3 linked regions of the Macaca fascicularis genome follow. The protein of the gene in region 3 purifies or fractionates together with the protein of the main gene of each other region. This does not show direct contact. Links are inferred from orthologs where the notes say so. Each region holds a gene or a part of one and is shown on either strand. Other genes may lie near its edges.

What was found. Proteins that work in one complex are often made in the same cells at the same time.
Region 1: the proteins of TXNIP (region 3) and WWP1 purify together in Homo sapiens (affinity purification with mass spectrometry; 4 studies listed by BioGRID and IntAct, counting the BioPlex papers as one, with this or other methods). This does not show direct contact. The link is inferred for Macaca fascicularis from reciprocal best matches to the Homo sapiens genes TXNIP and WWP1.
Region 2: the proteins of TXNIP (region 3) and NLRP3 purify together in Homo sapiens (affinity purification with western blotting, with the first as the bait; 4 studies listed by BioGRID). This does not show direct contact. The link is inferred for Macaca fascicularis from reciprocal best matches to the Homo sapiens genes TXNIP and NLRP3.

What each region holds. Positions count from the first base shown.
Region 1 is NC_088382.1:96,198,931-96,203,781, forward strand, and holds part of WWP1 (NEDD4-like E3 ubiquitin-protein ligase WWP1), read left to right. Parts: intron 1-2,571; coding exon 2,572-2,705; intron 2,706-2,796; coding exon 2,797-2,937; intron 2,938-4,851. UniProt on the Homo sapiens protein: E3 ubiquitin-protein ligase which accepts ubiquitin from an E2 ubiquitin-conjugating enzyme in the form of a thioester and then directly transfers the ubiquitin to targeted substrates.
Region 2 is NC_088375.1:1,648,549-1,653,399, forward strand, and holds part of NLRP3 (NACHT, LRR and PYD domains-containing protein 3), read right to left. Parts: intron 3,061-4,851; coding exon 2,890-3,060; intron 1,207-2,889; coding exon 1,036-1,206; intron 1-1,035. UniProt on the Homo sapiens protein: Sensor component of the NLRP3 inflammasome, which mediates inflammasome activation in response to defects in membrane integrity, leading to secretion of inflammatory cytokines IL1B and IL18 and pyroptosis.
Region 3 is NC_088375.1:113,421,978-113,427,287, forward strand, and holds the start of TXNIP (thioredoxin-interacting protein), read left to right. Parts: upstream 1-1,547; 5' UTR 1,548-1,862; coding exon 1,863-2,112; intron 2,113-2,661; coding exon 2,662-2,734; intron 2,735-2,847; coding exon 2,848-2,995; intron 2,996-3,107; coding exon 3,108-3,210; intron 3,211-3,342; coding exon 3,343-3,599; intron 3,600-3,708; coding exon 3,709-3,865; intron 3,866-3,978; coding exon 3,979-4,130; intron 4,131-4,260; coding exon 4,261-4,296; 3' UTR 4,297-5,310. UniProt on the Homo sapiens protein: May act as an oxidative stress mediator by inhibiting thioredoxin activity or by limiting its bioavailability.

The DNA.
Region 1 (4,851 bases), on a different chromosome or scaffold from region 3:
GTCCACCACTGATGGGCACCTGGATTTATTCTGTCTTTGCTATTGTGAGTAGCGCTGTGGCAAATGTACAGTGCATGCGTCCTTTGGTAGCACAATTTATTTTCCTCTGGATATCTATACCCAGTAACTGTATTGCTGATTCTTATGGTGGTTCAACTCTTAGTTCATTGAGAAATTTCCAACCTGCTTTTCAAAGTGGCTGAACTAATTTACATTCTGAACAAAGTATATGTCTCTTCTTTTTCTGCAGCCTTGCCAACATCTATTATTTTTTAATGTTTTAACAAAAGCCATTCTGACTGGTATGATGGTATGAGATGGTGTCTCATTGTGGTTTTGATTTGCATTTCTCTGATGATTAGTGATGTTGAGCATTTTTTCATGTATTTGTTGGCTGCTTATATGTCTTTTATTTTATTTTTTTTGAGACAGAGTCTTACTCTGTCACCCAGGCTGGAATGCAGTGGCATTATCCCAGCTCACTGCAACCTCTGCCTTCTGGGTTCAAGCAATTCTCCTGCCTCAACCTCCTGAGTAGCCGGGACCACAGGCGTGCACCACCAAACTCAGCTAATTTTTGTATTTTTAATAGAGATGGGGTTTCACCATGTTGACTGCGCCAGTCTCAAACTCCTAACCTCAGGTGATCTACTTCCCAAAGTGCTGGGATTACGGGTGTGAGCCACCACACCCAGCAGCTGCTTATATATCTTCTTTTGAGAAGTGTCTGTTTATGCTTGCCCACTTTTTAATGGGGTTCTTTTTTCTTGTTGATTTGCTTACGTTCTTTATGAATTCTGGATATTAGACCTTTGTTGGATCCATAGTTTATGAATATTTTCTCCCATTCTGTAGGTTAGCTTACTCCCTCTTTTGCTGTGCAGAAGCTCTTTAGTTTAACTATGTCCTATTTATCAATTTTTGTTTTTGTTGCAATTCTTTTGAGGACTTAGAAGTTTTTTTCTCAAGGCTAATATCAAGAGGGCATTTCCTAGGTTTTCTTCTAGGATTTTAATAGTTTTAGGTCTTACATTTAAGTATTTAGTCCATCTTGAGTTAATTTTTGTGTATGATGAGAGGTAGCACTCTGGTTTCATTCTTCTGTATGAAGAAGCCAGCTGGGGGATCACATTTCAACATGAGATTTGGAGGAGAGAAACATCTAAACAATACTACCAAGTTAGAGGATAAAGAATTTGATAAAGTCAGAATATAAGGAATATGAGAGCAATGGACTTGAGTTGGAGAGAGGAAGAGATTTATTTAGCACACATACTAGTTGATAGAAAGATTATCTGTAATAAGATTATATGCATTCAGATGCTAGTAGTGAGCAGATATAGTAGAACACACAAAAGTTCTCTTGTGGTTGCTTCTGTTTCCTCTGTGAAATAGGAAGTAAGATCATCAACTCAGAATAAGGAGCAGGGAGAAGTAAGTATTTGAGGAAAGAGGAGTAGGAATGAAATAGTCATCTAGGAAAGTGGGAGAGTGAATGCAGTAGGGAAATGTGATTACCAGGAAACAAACCAGTGATGAAATATGACTGTTGGTCATGGAGGAGTCAGCTTGGTTGTTTATGCATTTCTAGCATGTTCCATTGCCTAGGTATAGACATTGAGTAACCTGAGAGTTGAATTTAGCTGTGCTTGGGATTTTGCTAGAATACACTGGCGGAGGTAGGGTTTGAAGGGAGTTATTTTATTTTATTATTTGAGACAGAGTCTTGCTCTGTCACCTAGGCTGGAGTGCAGTGGTGTGATCTTGGCTCTCTGCAACTTCCACCTCCCAGGTTCAAGCAATTCTCCTGCCTCATTCCCCTGAGTAGCTGAGATTACAGGTGCGTGCCACCATTCCCAGCTGATTTTTTGTATTTTTAGTAAGGACAGGGTTTCACTGTGTTAGCCAGGATGGTGTTGATCTCCTGACCTCATGATCCACCTGCCTCAGCCTCCCAAAGTGCTGGGATTACAAGTGTGAGCCACCGTGCCCCACCTTGAAGGTAGTTATTTTAATGATTGACTATGGAATCTAAACTGAGTAAGGGAAGACATAACTTCATGAGGAGGCTAAGGTAGTATTAATAGCTTCAGTGGATTTTTTTAGTTCCCCCACATTGCTGGGAGTCTGGGGCTTCCTGGGTTGGCTGTTGTGAATAGGAGCAAAGGCACAGTGAGGTTAGTCCTAAAAGCCTCACATGCAACAGTGAGAATAAGAAAGGAACGGGGGAGCTGCCTTTTCAGGTGCACAGAGCCCTTTTCTATTTCGTTATCCAATTAGGTTAATTCAATTTATAAAACATTTAGGAAGATTGAGGCAGGGTATGGTAACAGAAGTCTTGTATCATCCTCTACATTTTTTGATATATGTTATATAGCTGTATGTATAAAATAGATTTTAACTTTGTTTTTCATACCTAGCATTTTATATAATATTTTAGTTTTCATGATTTATGCCATTCACTTACTGAATGCTTTACTTGTAAAGTCTCATGATTTTTCTGTTATCATTGTTCTGTAAGAAATTGTTATTTTGCAAATTTTAAATAAAATTTTTCATTTTTCTTTGCAGGCACTATTTCATGGAAAGTTTATCGATACTGGTTTCTCTTTACCATTCTACAAGCGTATGTTAAGTAAAAAACTTACTATTAAGGATTTGGAATCTATTGATACTGAATTTTATAACTCCCTTATCTGGATAAGGTTTGAAGATTTTGTTTTGCAGTAAGTCATTTTTTTGAAACTCGTTTTGTTTCATTTTGTTAATTAGTGTATATATATTTATTTCACCCAGAGATAACAACATTGAAGAATGTGGCTTAGAAATGTACTTTTCTGTTGACATGGAGATTTTGGGAAAAGTTACTTCACATGACCTGAAATTGGGAGGTTCCAATATTCTGGTGACTGAGGAGAACAAAGATGAATATATTGGGTAAGGCGATATACCTTATTAAGCTTAATTTCTAGAACACTTCAGAACTAAATCCTTTCTCTGTACCCTTAATTTCATCCCCTTTTCATGCCTTTGGGAAGTTCTTCTCACCAGTACCACTGCTCTTGAAAAAAAAAGAATGTATGTTGCTTCATTTTCCCACTGCCATTTGCTGTAACCATTCTACCATTTCCCTTTCCATGTCATTTTCCCTTTTTTAACTTAGGCTTTTAAATAGTGCTCACCATAGCCTCTTTCTTGAAACTCAGTGTTTTCTTGAATTCCATGATCCTATGTCATACTGATTTTCCTTACATTCTCTTGTTTTAAAATTTTGTTTTCAGAGAGGGTTTCACTCTGTCGCTCAGGCTGTAGTAGTGGCGTGGTTGACCATTGAGCTCAAGCTATTCTCCTGCCTTAGTCTCCTGAGTAGCTGGTACTACAGGCTTATACTACTATTCCCAGCTAATTTAAAACAATGGTTTTTTGTTTTTGTTTTTGTTTTTGTTTTTTAAAGACAGGGTCTCACTGTATTGCCCAGGCTGGTCTCAAACTCTTGGCCTCAAGTCATCCTCCTTCCTCAGCCTCCCAAAATGCTGGGATTACAGGCATGAGTCACCACTCCTGGTCACTTGCACTTTTTTAATGACGGTTCTCTAAATCTCCTATTTCCTAAATGTAGGCATTTTTCCAAGATTTTATTTCAACCTGCTTATCTAAATATTCTGCTAACATAGCTTCAATTTTCTGTTAAAGTTATATCTGAACTTTAGAAATAATTTCCATTTGCCAGCCAGGTAAATCCAAACATTTTCAGGAAAGAACCAGGCAGTAAACTTGTTAGGCTTACAGGCCACATTTCTTATTGCAACTACTCACCTCTGTGGTATAGTGTGAAGGTAACCATAGACAGTGTATAAATAGATGTGTGGCTGTGTTCTAGTAAAACACTTGTAGACACTGAAATTTGATTTTGTATGATTTTCATATCCCAAAATACTTTTAATATTTTTCAGTCATTTTTTTAAAATGTAAAAACTATTCTTAGCTCAAATGCTGGGGACAAAAAAACCAGATGATTAGGCCCACGGGTCATACTTTGCCAACACGTGAACTACAGATGACCCATCTTAAAATGTCATGGGTCTAAAATCAAACTTTTCATTTTTTCTAGATATTTTCTCCTACTGATGTCTTCTATGAATAGTACTACCATTTTCACCCTCTTAGATGCTAGCTGTCATCTCTGTCTCTTTCAGATTTTTTGTTTTTTATATTTGTTTTGAAAATGGGATTGGATTATACACATTACTCTGTATTTTACTTTTTTGTCTTAAGGACAGTACAGTTAAATCTAGCTCATTTTTTAATAGCTAGGTAAACTGGGGTGGTTTTTTCCCTATATTTTTCAGCTATTCCTGTCAATAGAGATCATTTAGGTTGTGTCCAGTTTGGGCCACTGCAAAGAAGACAGCAGAAAACTTCCTTAAGCATGAATCCATACATCCTGCTACTTGTTTTGTGGGCTAGATTTTTAAAAAGTGAAGTTACTTGGTCAAAAAGTATTTAATAGATATTGCTATGTGGCTTTTGTAAAATGTCACAGCCATTCTTTTTTCCCTTCTTGTAAATTGCTATGGCCTTTCAAATTTATATCCTTAGTGTCTCTGCTTACCAACTTCAATGTACCCTTCTTAGCTTGACATTCTTGGCCTCTTCTGTTTCTGCTAAACCAGTCATCTCTGAGTGAGAGAAATTAGCAATAGCTGATTTTCTTCTTTTGTACTTTTGTACTCTGTTAGATATTTTTGTTTTGCTTTGTTCTGCAGCGTGCATTTATTACACTAGTTGGAAAAAAACAGTAACACTAAATTTTGAGGAAAATATATTCACAAAGATCACGCATAAGGCACT
Region 2 (4,851 bases), about 110 Mb from region 3:
GGCTGAGAGCCAGAGGAAGAAGCCCCGTAGAGAGCCCATTAGCAACATCTCCTAAGGCGATGCACTGGGAATTAAGGCAGTGGCTGGGGGGGTCACAGACGTTTGTCTACACTGAGTTCCACTACCTTCTCTCTGAGTGTCCTTGGACAAAGTTACGAGGCTCCCTGAGTTGTATTTTCTCCTCTTTAAACTGGAGACACAGATACCCACCTTACAGCATCTTTCTGACGCCAACTGAGAAAATCCATGTAAGAACAGGAAAGAGCAGGTGATACGGGAAAGTGGTATAGGGAAAGTGGTACAGGGAAAGTGCATGATTATTAGTGGGTATTCTCTACTACTGTTTACTGCAGAATTCCAACAAGAACCAAAAGGTTTATGTAACTGCCAAAAAGCATAAGGAAATCAGAGGCTCCACCAGTGAAACCATAGTTCTCTGCAACAGGAGCTAAAACATCCACCACACGTCATCAGGTCTGGGCACCAAATTTCAAAGAGAGACACTAACAAACCAGCCTGTGTACCTGGGAGAGCATGGCTACACAGGTGAAGGTGCTGAGCCCTGACACTGTTGAGGATAAAGAGGCTGCAGGGTAAAAGCTCTCTCCTAGTGCAGAGGCTGCAGGGTAAAATCCCTCTCCTACTGTAGAGGCTGCAGGGTAAGAGCTCTTTCCTGGTGTAGAGGCTGCACGCACTGGACGATAACTTGCATGCATGCACACATAAAATGGGTGACTATTCATGTGAGTGCCTTGGAAACAAGTTTTTTCCTTAATGGGCAATTGGGCTGCACAATCTCTAAGGTTTTTTCCAACACTAAGAAACTCTAATGCTATAATCATAAATTAGCATAAATTATCTCATTAGCAGTAGTATACATTATATACATCCAGTCCTTCAAACCATTTCTGATGTTTTTACCTCCTTACTCTACCTTCAACTCTGCCTGACCAGAGTAACCCCCATCCACATTTTCCACATAATTCACCTCTGAAAAGAAGTTACTTTTCTGCTGAGACACCCATGAAGACTTACCCCAGTTTCTGCAGGTTACATTGTGGATTCTTGGCTTTTTCACATAAAATTGCGACTCCTGCGTCTCCCAGGGCATTCTCCCCCACGTAGAGTCTGGTCAGGGAACGGCTGGTGCTCAATACTGACGCAAGATCCTGACAACACGCTGATGTGAGGCAGCAGCTGACCAGCCTTCCACAAAGATGGCAGAATGTCAGTCATGTCTCTCACCCACGCTCCACCATGAACAAGGAGGCACCCGTACCTGCCACTGCCTCTACTCCAGTTTACACATGGAAAGGGAGTGGACACAAGCTCTACGTACACTTCTGATTTCCTCTTCCATCTGGCGGAATAACAAGCTCGCACCAATACTACATCTTCCCAGCTCCCTACATTCAGCTTTATTGTGGTGAAATACGTGTAAAATGAAATTTACCATCTTAACCATTTTTAAGTGCACGATTAACGGCCTTAAGCACATTCACATTGTTGTGCAACCATCTTCACCACCGTCTCCAGAACTCCTTTCATCTTGCCGAAATGAAACTCCATAACCATTAAACAATGTCTTCCCGTTCCCCACTCTCCCATTGCCTGCAACCACCTTTCTTTCTGTCTCTATGAATCTGACTATTCTAGGCACCTCCTATCAGGACAATCACAGAGTATTTGCCCTTTCAAGCCTAGCTTATCTTACTTAGCATAATGTCCCTGAGGCTCATCCATGTTGTAGTGTGTACTAGAATTCCTTTTAAAGCTGAATGTACATATATAGCACTTTTCAACACCCTTTATCCGTTGAAGGACGTTTGGGTTATTTCTACCTTTTGGCTAGTGCTAATAGTGTTGCTATGGACATGGGTGTACAAATAACATGTTTGAGTTCCTGCCTTCTTTTTTTTTTTAACTCTTCCTCGGTTACCCAGGTGGGAATGCAGTGGCGTGATCTTGACTCACTGCAACCTCCGCCTCCCAGGTTCAAACGATTCTCTTGCCTCCACCCAGAGTAGCTGGGATTACAAGCACGTGCCACCACGCCTGGCTAATTTTTGTATTTTTAGTAGAGACAAGGTTTTACTATGATGGCCAGGCTAGTCTCAAACTCCTGACCTCAAGTGATCCACCTGCCTCGGCCTCCCAAAATGCTGGGATTACAGGTGTGAGCCACTGTGCCTGGCTGAGTTACTGCTTTGAACTCTTTTGCAGATATACCCAGGAGTGGAAATGCTGGCTTCAATAGTAATTCTATATTGTTTTAGGAATTGCAGTGCTGTTTTCCACACTGGCTGCATCATTTACTTTCCCACCAGCAATACACAATGGCTTCCATTTCTCCGTATCCATGCCAATACTTGTTTTCTAGTTTTCTTGCTTTTGTTTAATAATAGCCATCCTAATGGGTGAGAATTGGCCCTTCCATTTTTAAGTGTTTTTTTCTCTCCTTCAAAATGCAAGTCTCCCAGAAGCATTCAGGGAAGGGCTGCGTACAACATCGAGTGTCTGCACTGCTTTAGCACCATTTTTCTTATACAACATGAGGACCCAGGGCTTGTCATGAAATTCTAAAACTCCTCTAAAGCAATGCATTACACTGGTTTTCTTCTTTTTCTCAGCTAAGGCAGTGGGCACCCTACAGGCAGTCATCTTCTTTTTTTATTACTTATGCCCCTTGTCAGGGTTGAGTGTGTGACTTTCCCCACAGCAAACACTAACTGACCGAAATGCCACAGACACCCAGAGACAAGCACACACAGCCACCTGAGCCGCCGAGGCCACTGTCACTCAAACTCCAGCCCCCCAGGCCTCACTGAAGCCAGAGTGCGAAACATGCCTTGTTGGCAGGGCTTCCTTTGGGGAACGGGCTCAACTCACCAGAGCTTCTTCAGATTGCACAACAGGTGCTTCAGTCCGACACACAGAAGTCTGATCCCGAAGTCCCCAAGGGCGTTGTCGCTCAGGTCCAGCTCCACCAGCTTCTGGTTGCTGCTGAGGACCAAGGAGATGTCGAAGCAGCACTCATGCGAGAGGCCGCAGCGCCCCAACCTTCATGCCAAGAACAGAGGCAGAAAGCGTCAGAACACATCTGACCAGAGAACTCCGGAATACAGCACAAGGTCAGCCCTCAGGCTCCCCAGTCACAGCAGAGGGAGCACCCGTCAGTGAATTCCCGGCCATAAACAGTGCCGGGTGCATTGCAGTCACCCCCCAGACAAGTGAATGGTGAGCTCCTGGCTTGTAAGTGAAACGGGTGGTGTGGGCCTGTGCACTCCACCTCCTTCCCTCGTGTTCCTAACTGTTGATGTGCCCGCAGTCGGCTCTGCCCTCGCCAGCGCTGCACTCAGCTATTTCTTGTCTTTACCAACATTGTCACCCCATTGTGCTTGATGATTTCATCCCAGCCATCCATCTATATTGAAAGGAAAAGCAGCTCTGATTCTTTTTCTCTTTCTTTTTCTTTTCTTTTTTTTTAGAGACAGGGTCTCACTTTGTTGCACAGGCTGGAGTGCAATGGTGAGATCATAGCTCACTGCCACCTAGAACTCCTGTGCTCAAGGAGATCCACCTGCCTCAGCCTCCCAAGTGGCTGCAAATACCAGCATGTGCTACCATGCTTAGCTATTTTATTTATTTATTTATTTATTTATTTATTTATTTATTATTTTGTAAAGACAAGGTCTCACCAGCTTGCTCAGGCTGGTTTTGAACTCCTGGGCTTATGATCTGCCCACCTCAGCCTCTCAAAGTGCTGGGGTTCCGCACCCCGCTGCAGCTCTGATTCTTTATTGGTTTCACCGTTACACACATGCACACACACACACGCACATCACTACCACCGTCACCACCACCACCAGCAACAAAAATGTATCCCTGTCGTGGGGGCGAGAACGACATTCTAGTTTCTTTCCAGGGCAATAGTTCATAGGTCCTGGAGCCTGTTAGACCACCTCCTTTCTGTTCCTATCCTTACACCAACTTCAAGCAAATGGACAAATGGATCTCTACTTATCTGCAGAACATCTCATTGTCACCTACCCTTTCCTGTTTGTGTCTCCCTCTCCAGAATCACACAGGGGCAATGGCAGTGGGGAGAGAACTTGGGGATGAAGTTGGAGAAATAAGGTTAAGTGTCCCAAAGAGCCAGTCTCCATGGTACGACAATTTGAAATTTATCAAAAGAGCAAAGATCAAGAGAGTGTGATCTATATACACAATGGAATACTGCTCAGCCATAGAAAAGAAGGAAGTCACATCTTTGAAGCCACATGGATGAAACTGGAGGCCATTATCTTAAGTGAAATACCTCAGAAACAGAGTCAAATACCACATGTTCTCACTTACAAGTTTGAGCTAAACAAAGGGTAACATCCACAGAGCGTAGAATGATAGACACTGGAGCCTCAGAAGGGTGGGAGGGTGGGACCCAGGTGAGGGCTGGAAAATTACTTATTGGGTACAATGTTCACTATTTGGGTAAGAGTTACACAAAGGCCGGGTGCGGTGTCTCACGCCTGTAATCCCAGCACTTTGGGAGGCCAAGGCGGGCAGATCACGAGGTCAGGAGTTTGAGACCAGCCTAGCCAATATAGTGAAATCTTGTCTCTACCAAAAATATAAAAATTAGCTGGGCGTGGTGGCCCACGCCTGCAATCCCAACTACTCGGGAGGCTGAGGCAGAAGAATCGCTTAAACCCGGGAGGTGGATGTTGCAGTGAGCCAAGATTGTGCCATTGCACTCCAGCCCGTGCGACAAGGCAAGACTCTGTCTCAAAAAAAAAAAAGGGGGGGGTTACAGTAAAAGCCCAGACACTACCACTGTGCAATAATATATCCATG
Region 3 (5,310 bases):
CTTAGTTACTTCCCCATCTCAATCTTGGGACATTATCTTCCTTTCCAGCCCAAGGAATGAGATGATAATCTTCTGATACCCCAGCACAGATATGGGAAGGGTCTATGAATCAAAGAAAAGGGGGAAGAATCCCTGCACTTCTGCATACAGGTTTTTCTTATTACATTTAAGAGTAAGTTCTCAGTACTCAGCTCCTAAAGCATCTCACAGCCAGCAGGGGAAAATCCATCTGACAGCTGGCCAAACGAAACCAGCAAAGAATGAAACCAACAAAGGGAGGGTAGGGTCTCTTCTGGCTTGAATTTATAGTGCTCTAGTGACCGATCTTTCTTCTCTTTTCCTTCTTACTGTTTTCTAAACCGTTTAGGGAAAAACCTTTGAAAATATTTTTTAAAATTGTTCCTTCAAACAGGTGTATGGCCATCTCTCCACTGGAAATTTGGATATAAACAAGAGGACTTTCTTGCTTTTAACCAGATTTATGGATGTATATTTGATTTAGTGAGTTGGGAGAGGGGAGGGAGACAAGAAAGAGTGAACATAACTCTGGAAGAAAGTGAAAAAAGTGAAGCATCCTTGTTCCCCCCCCCCTTCCTTTTCCTCCAGAAGCAGGTAGGGAGTGCGAGATTATCAGCGCCTGGACACACCTCACTAAAGAGGTAATGAGGTAAATGGGAAACACAGACAAAGTGTTCCCCAACTTTGCAGGCAGAAATTGAAGAGATAACAGGATAAGCAACAGGATGTAAACACGCCTGTCCTATTTCCGTGCCAGAGAACAGAGAGAACAGAAGAGAGGGTACAAGGGGCGGGGGGTGACGAACAGCACACGCACGCAGCCCCCAGCCCTAGCCCCAAGGGATTGGAACGGGAAGTAGAAGACATCAGTCCTACAGCCGCAATGAGGCCTGAAAGTTCTCCTTTCCCTCAGAGATGGTGGTGTTTTTTTACATTTAATAGGGATGCGGGGCAAGAGAAGGACAAAGGGGCTGTTCCTTAACAGTAACACCAAGCATTCTGCGCTCCACGGCCCCAAACCTAAAAGTATTCTTGGAGCTATGGGATTTTCACACACTTGCTATTTACGAGCCACGAATAAACGACAGACTATAAAGTAATTGCACTGGCTAAGACTAGGCACGAAATTCCCTCATAAGCACATTTTCTTTTTACCTCAAACCACCGCTCTCAGACCAGAAACGTCCACACCCGCCCTCCGATGGCCTGTCGCCCTGGCTAGGTTTTAGGGTCAGTGGTATCCTCCTTCCACTAGGCCCGGGTAAAGACTCAAAAGCCCCCTCCTTCCCCTCATTCCTCTCCTTCCCCCCTCCCTGCGCCGCTCCCGAGCACAACAACCATTTTCCCCGCCAGGAGCACACCGTGTCCACGCGCCTCAGCGATCTCACTGATTGGTCGGGCTCCTGGTAAACAAGGACCGGGCAGCCAATGGGAGGGATGTGCACGAGGGCAGCACGAGCCTCCGACCCAGCGCTCGCGTGGCTCTTCTGGCCGGGGCTTCTATATAGAGCCGTTTCCGCCTGCTGCTTGAAACTAACCTCTCTTTCTCTGTCAAGAAGTGCTTGCGGAGATCGGATCTCTTCTCCAGCAATCGGGGAAAAGAAGACTTTTTCTCTGAAATCGCTTAGTGTAACCAGCGGCGTAAATTTTTTGGACGCCTTTTCGAAAACCTAGTTAAAATTCATTTGTTTAAATCTCATTTTTAAGCTCAAACTGCTTAAGAATATCTTCATTCCTTAGGAAGAGTGAAATAATTTACTGCAAAGGAATTTCCTCGATTTGGTGCATTTTTTTTTTTATTCTTCCACGGTCTTTTCTAACTCTCAAACCAACTCCGTCCCATCATGGTGATGTTCAAGAAGATCAAGTCTTTTGAGGTGGTCTTTAACGACCCTGAAAAGGTGTACGGCAGTGGTGAGAAGGTGGCTGGCCGGGTGATAGTGGAGGTGTGTGAAGTTACTCGTGTCAAAGCCGTTAGGATCCTTGCTTGCGGAGTGGCTAAAGTGCTCTGGATGCAGGGATCCCAGCAGTGCAAACAGACTTCGGAGTACCTGCGCTATGAAGACACGCTTCTTCCGGAAGACCAGCCAACAGGTAAGCGGCCCAATTCATTGTTGGAGGGTGAAAGCTGATTAGAGAAGAGAATTGAAAGGAATACACAAAACTATACGAAATGTTTTAAGTTGCTCAGTTTGAGTGGTGTGAATTGCACGTTGTTACTTCCTTTTTTCTAATTTGCAGACATTCTCCCCCCCACACCCCCCAAAAAAAAGGGTGGTTTGTACAATTTTTTATGGTGCTGTGTCCTAAAGGTGGTTCTGAGGGGCATTGCCTCGGATAGTTAAAAATCTTATGTGTGCATTAGTTGCTTATTCTTTGCCTACTTCCTGTTTGAGATGTTAGTGAAGAACTGTCCTGGGTGAATCTTTAAAAGCATTGCAGGGCAACTTGGGAACTTGCTGCCCAACAAAATACATCAGAATTTCTCTTTAAGAACAACATGGGATGATTAAAATACCTCTCTGTGGGACGAAATTAGGGGTACTTCAATACCTTGCATGCCACCCAAACATTCCTTATCACACAGATGCGTTTTAAGTGTAACAGGAAGCCTAATGGCTACTCGATTATCTTTCCCTTCAGGTGAGAATGAGATGGTGATCATGAGACCTGGAAACAAATATGAGTACAAGTTCGGCTTTGAGCTTCCCCAGGGGTAAATATCAGCTAAATGCATCTTTGAACTTTTCTGTCTAAAATATCTTGCCCTCCTTTGATCACTTACTGTTCCTTGGAGAGCATTTAAAAATTTTCATTTTCTTGACACAGGCCTCTGGGAACATCCTTCAAAGGAAAATATGGGTGTGTAGACTACTGGGTGAAGGCTTTTCTTGACCGCCCCAGCCAGCCAACTCAGGAGACAAAGAAAAACTTTGAAGTAGTGGATCTGGTGGATGTCAATACCCCTGATTTAATGGTGAGATTCATTTTAAAGATTATATTCTCCTGGGTCACAGGGATGATAAATCAGATGTCTTGGGCATTAGATTGAAGCATCTCAAAACACCTTTTTGTCCCCTTCTACATAGGCACCTGTGTCTGCTAAAAAGGAAAAGAAAGTTTCCTGCATGTTCATTCCTGATGGGCGGGTGTCTGTCTCTGCTCGAATTGACAGAAAAGGATTCTGTGAAGGTAAAATCCTAGTGCTTATGGCAGACAGATATAACAGGAACTAGGTTTAGGGGCAAGGGCATGGGACTGGGGTAGAGGAAATGTCATTAACTATACTGAGTATCAGTAAGTTTTCATTTTTCTCTTTGCTAGGTGACGAGATTTCCATCCATGCTGACTTTGAGAATACGTGTTCCCGAATTGTGGTCCCCAAAGCTGCCATTGTGGCCCGCCACACTTATCTTGCCAATGGCCAGACCAAGGTGCTGACTCAGAAGTTGTCATCAGTCAGAGGCAATCATATTATCTCAGGGACATGTGCATCATGGCGTGGAAAGAGCCTTCGGGTTCAGAAGATCAGGCCTTCTATCCTGGGCTGCAACATTCTTCGAGTTGAATATTCTTTACTGGTGAGTAGATGCAGGGTGGGTTCAGCAGAGAAATTGTTCATCTGTTACCATAACTGTCTTGTTTCACCAGAGCGCTCTGGTCTAACAAACTACCATCTTCCTTTTCTAGATCTATGTTAGCGTTCCTGGGTCCAAGAAGGTCATCCTTGACCTGCCCCTGGTAATTGGCAGCAGATCAGGTCTAAGCAGCAGAACATCCAGCATGGCCAGCCGAACCAGCTCTGAGATGAGTTGGGTAGATCTGAATATCCCTGATACCCCAGAAGGTGAGCCAGACCTAATGTCTTTTCTTCATTTCTGGTCTACCTGGGTTTGTAAAATTGTGATGGTCCAGCATTTCTTGGGCAGGCTTCTTATGTGGCCATATTTTCTTTTCTAGCTCCTCCCTGCTATATGGATATCATTCCCGAAGATCACCGATTGGAGAGCCCCACCACTCCTCTGCTAGATGACATGGATGGCGCTCAAGACAGCCCTATCTTTATGTATGCCCCTGAGTTCAAGTTCATGCCACCACCTACTTATACTGAGGTGAGAATTGTCATATTTACTGTTAAAATTTGTCCTAAGCTTTCTATAAGAAGTTGACTTAGGGGGATTGCTAAACTGGTTTGTTCTTTTAGTTCTTATCTGAACTGAAATAGTCTGTTTCTTCCTTTAGGTGGATCCGTGCATCCTCAACAACAACGTGCAGTGAACATGTGGAAGAAAAGAAGCAGCTTTACCTACTTCTTTCTTTTTGTCTCTCTTCCTGGACTCTCACTTTTTCAGAGACTCAGTAGTCTCTGCAATGGAGTGTGGATCCACCTTAGCCTCTGACTTCCCAATGCAGGAGGTGGTCAGCAGGCAATCTCCTGGGCCTTAAAGGATGCGGACTCATCCTCAGCCAGCGCCGATGTTGTGATACAGGGGTGTTTGTTGGATGGGTTTAAAAACAGCTAGAAAAACTCAGGCCCATCCATTTTCTCAGATCTCCTTGAAAATTGAGGCCTTTTCGGTAGTTTCGGGTCAGGTAAAAATGGCCTCCTGGCATGAGCTTTTCAAGGTTTCTTGGAGGCTTTGTGCAAATTGTGATAACCACTTTGGACCTTCAACTTATGTATCTATCATGTGGAAAAGAGCCAATTTAGCAAACTAGGAACATGAAAAGGGAAATTATGGCCAAAACTTTGGGAAAAGGAGGTTCTTAAAATCAGTATTCCCCTTTGTGCACTTGCAGAAAAAAAAGAAAAACCTTCTAGGGCTGATTTGATGGACATTTGGAGAGAGCTTTCTCTGTGATTATAAAAAAAGAAGCTAGCTGCTCTATGGTCGTCTTTGCTTAGAGTGTACTTTAACCTGGCTTTTAAAGCGGTAGTAACTGTGTCCCACCAAAGGTCTTAAAAGCCATTTTTGGAGCATATTGCACTGTGTTCTCCTATTGCAAATATTTTCATATGGGAGGATATTTTTCTCTTCATGCAAGTCCTTGGAATTGATTCTAAGGTGATGTTCTTAGCACTTTAGTTCCTGTCAAATTTTTTGTCCTCCCCCCTCCACCATCTTAAATGTAAGCTGAAACTCGTCTACTATGTCTCTAGGGGTAAGCCCAAAGACAAAAAGAAAAAAAAACTGTTAACTACTTTTGAGATTGCCCCAATGTACAGAATTACATAATTCTAAGACTCAAATCATGTGAAAGGGTTGCTGCTGTCAGCCTTGCCCACTGTGA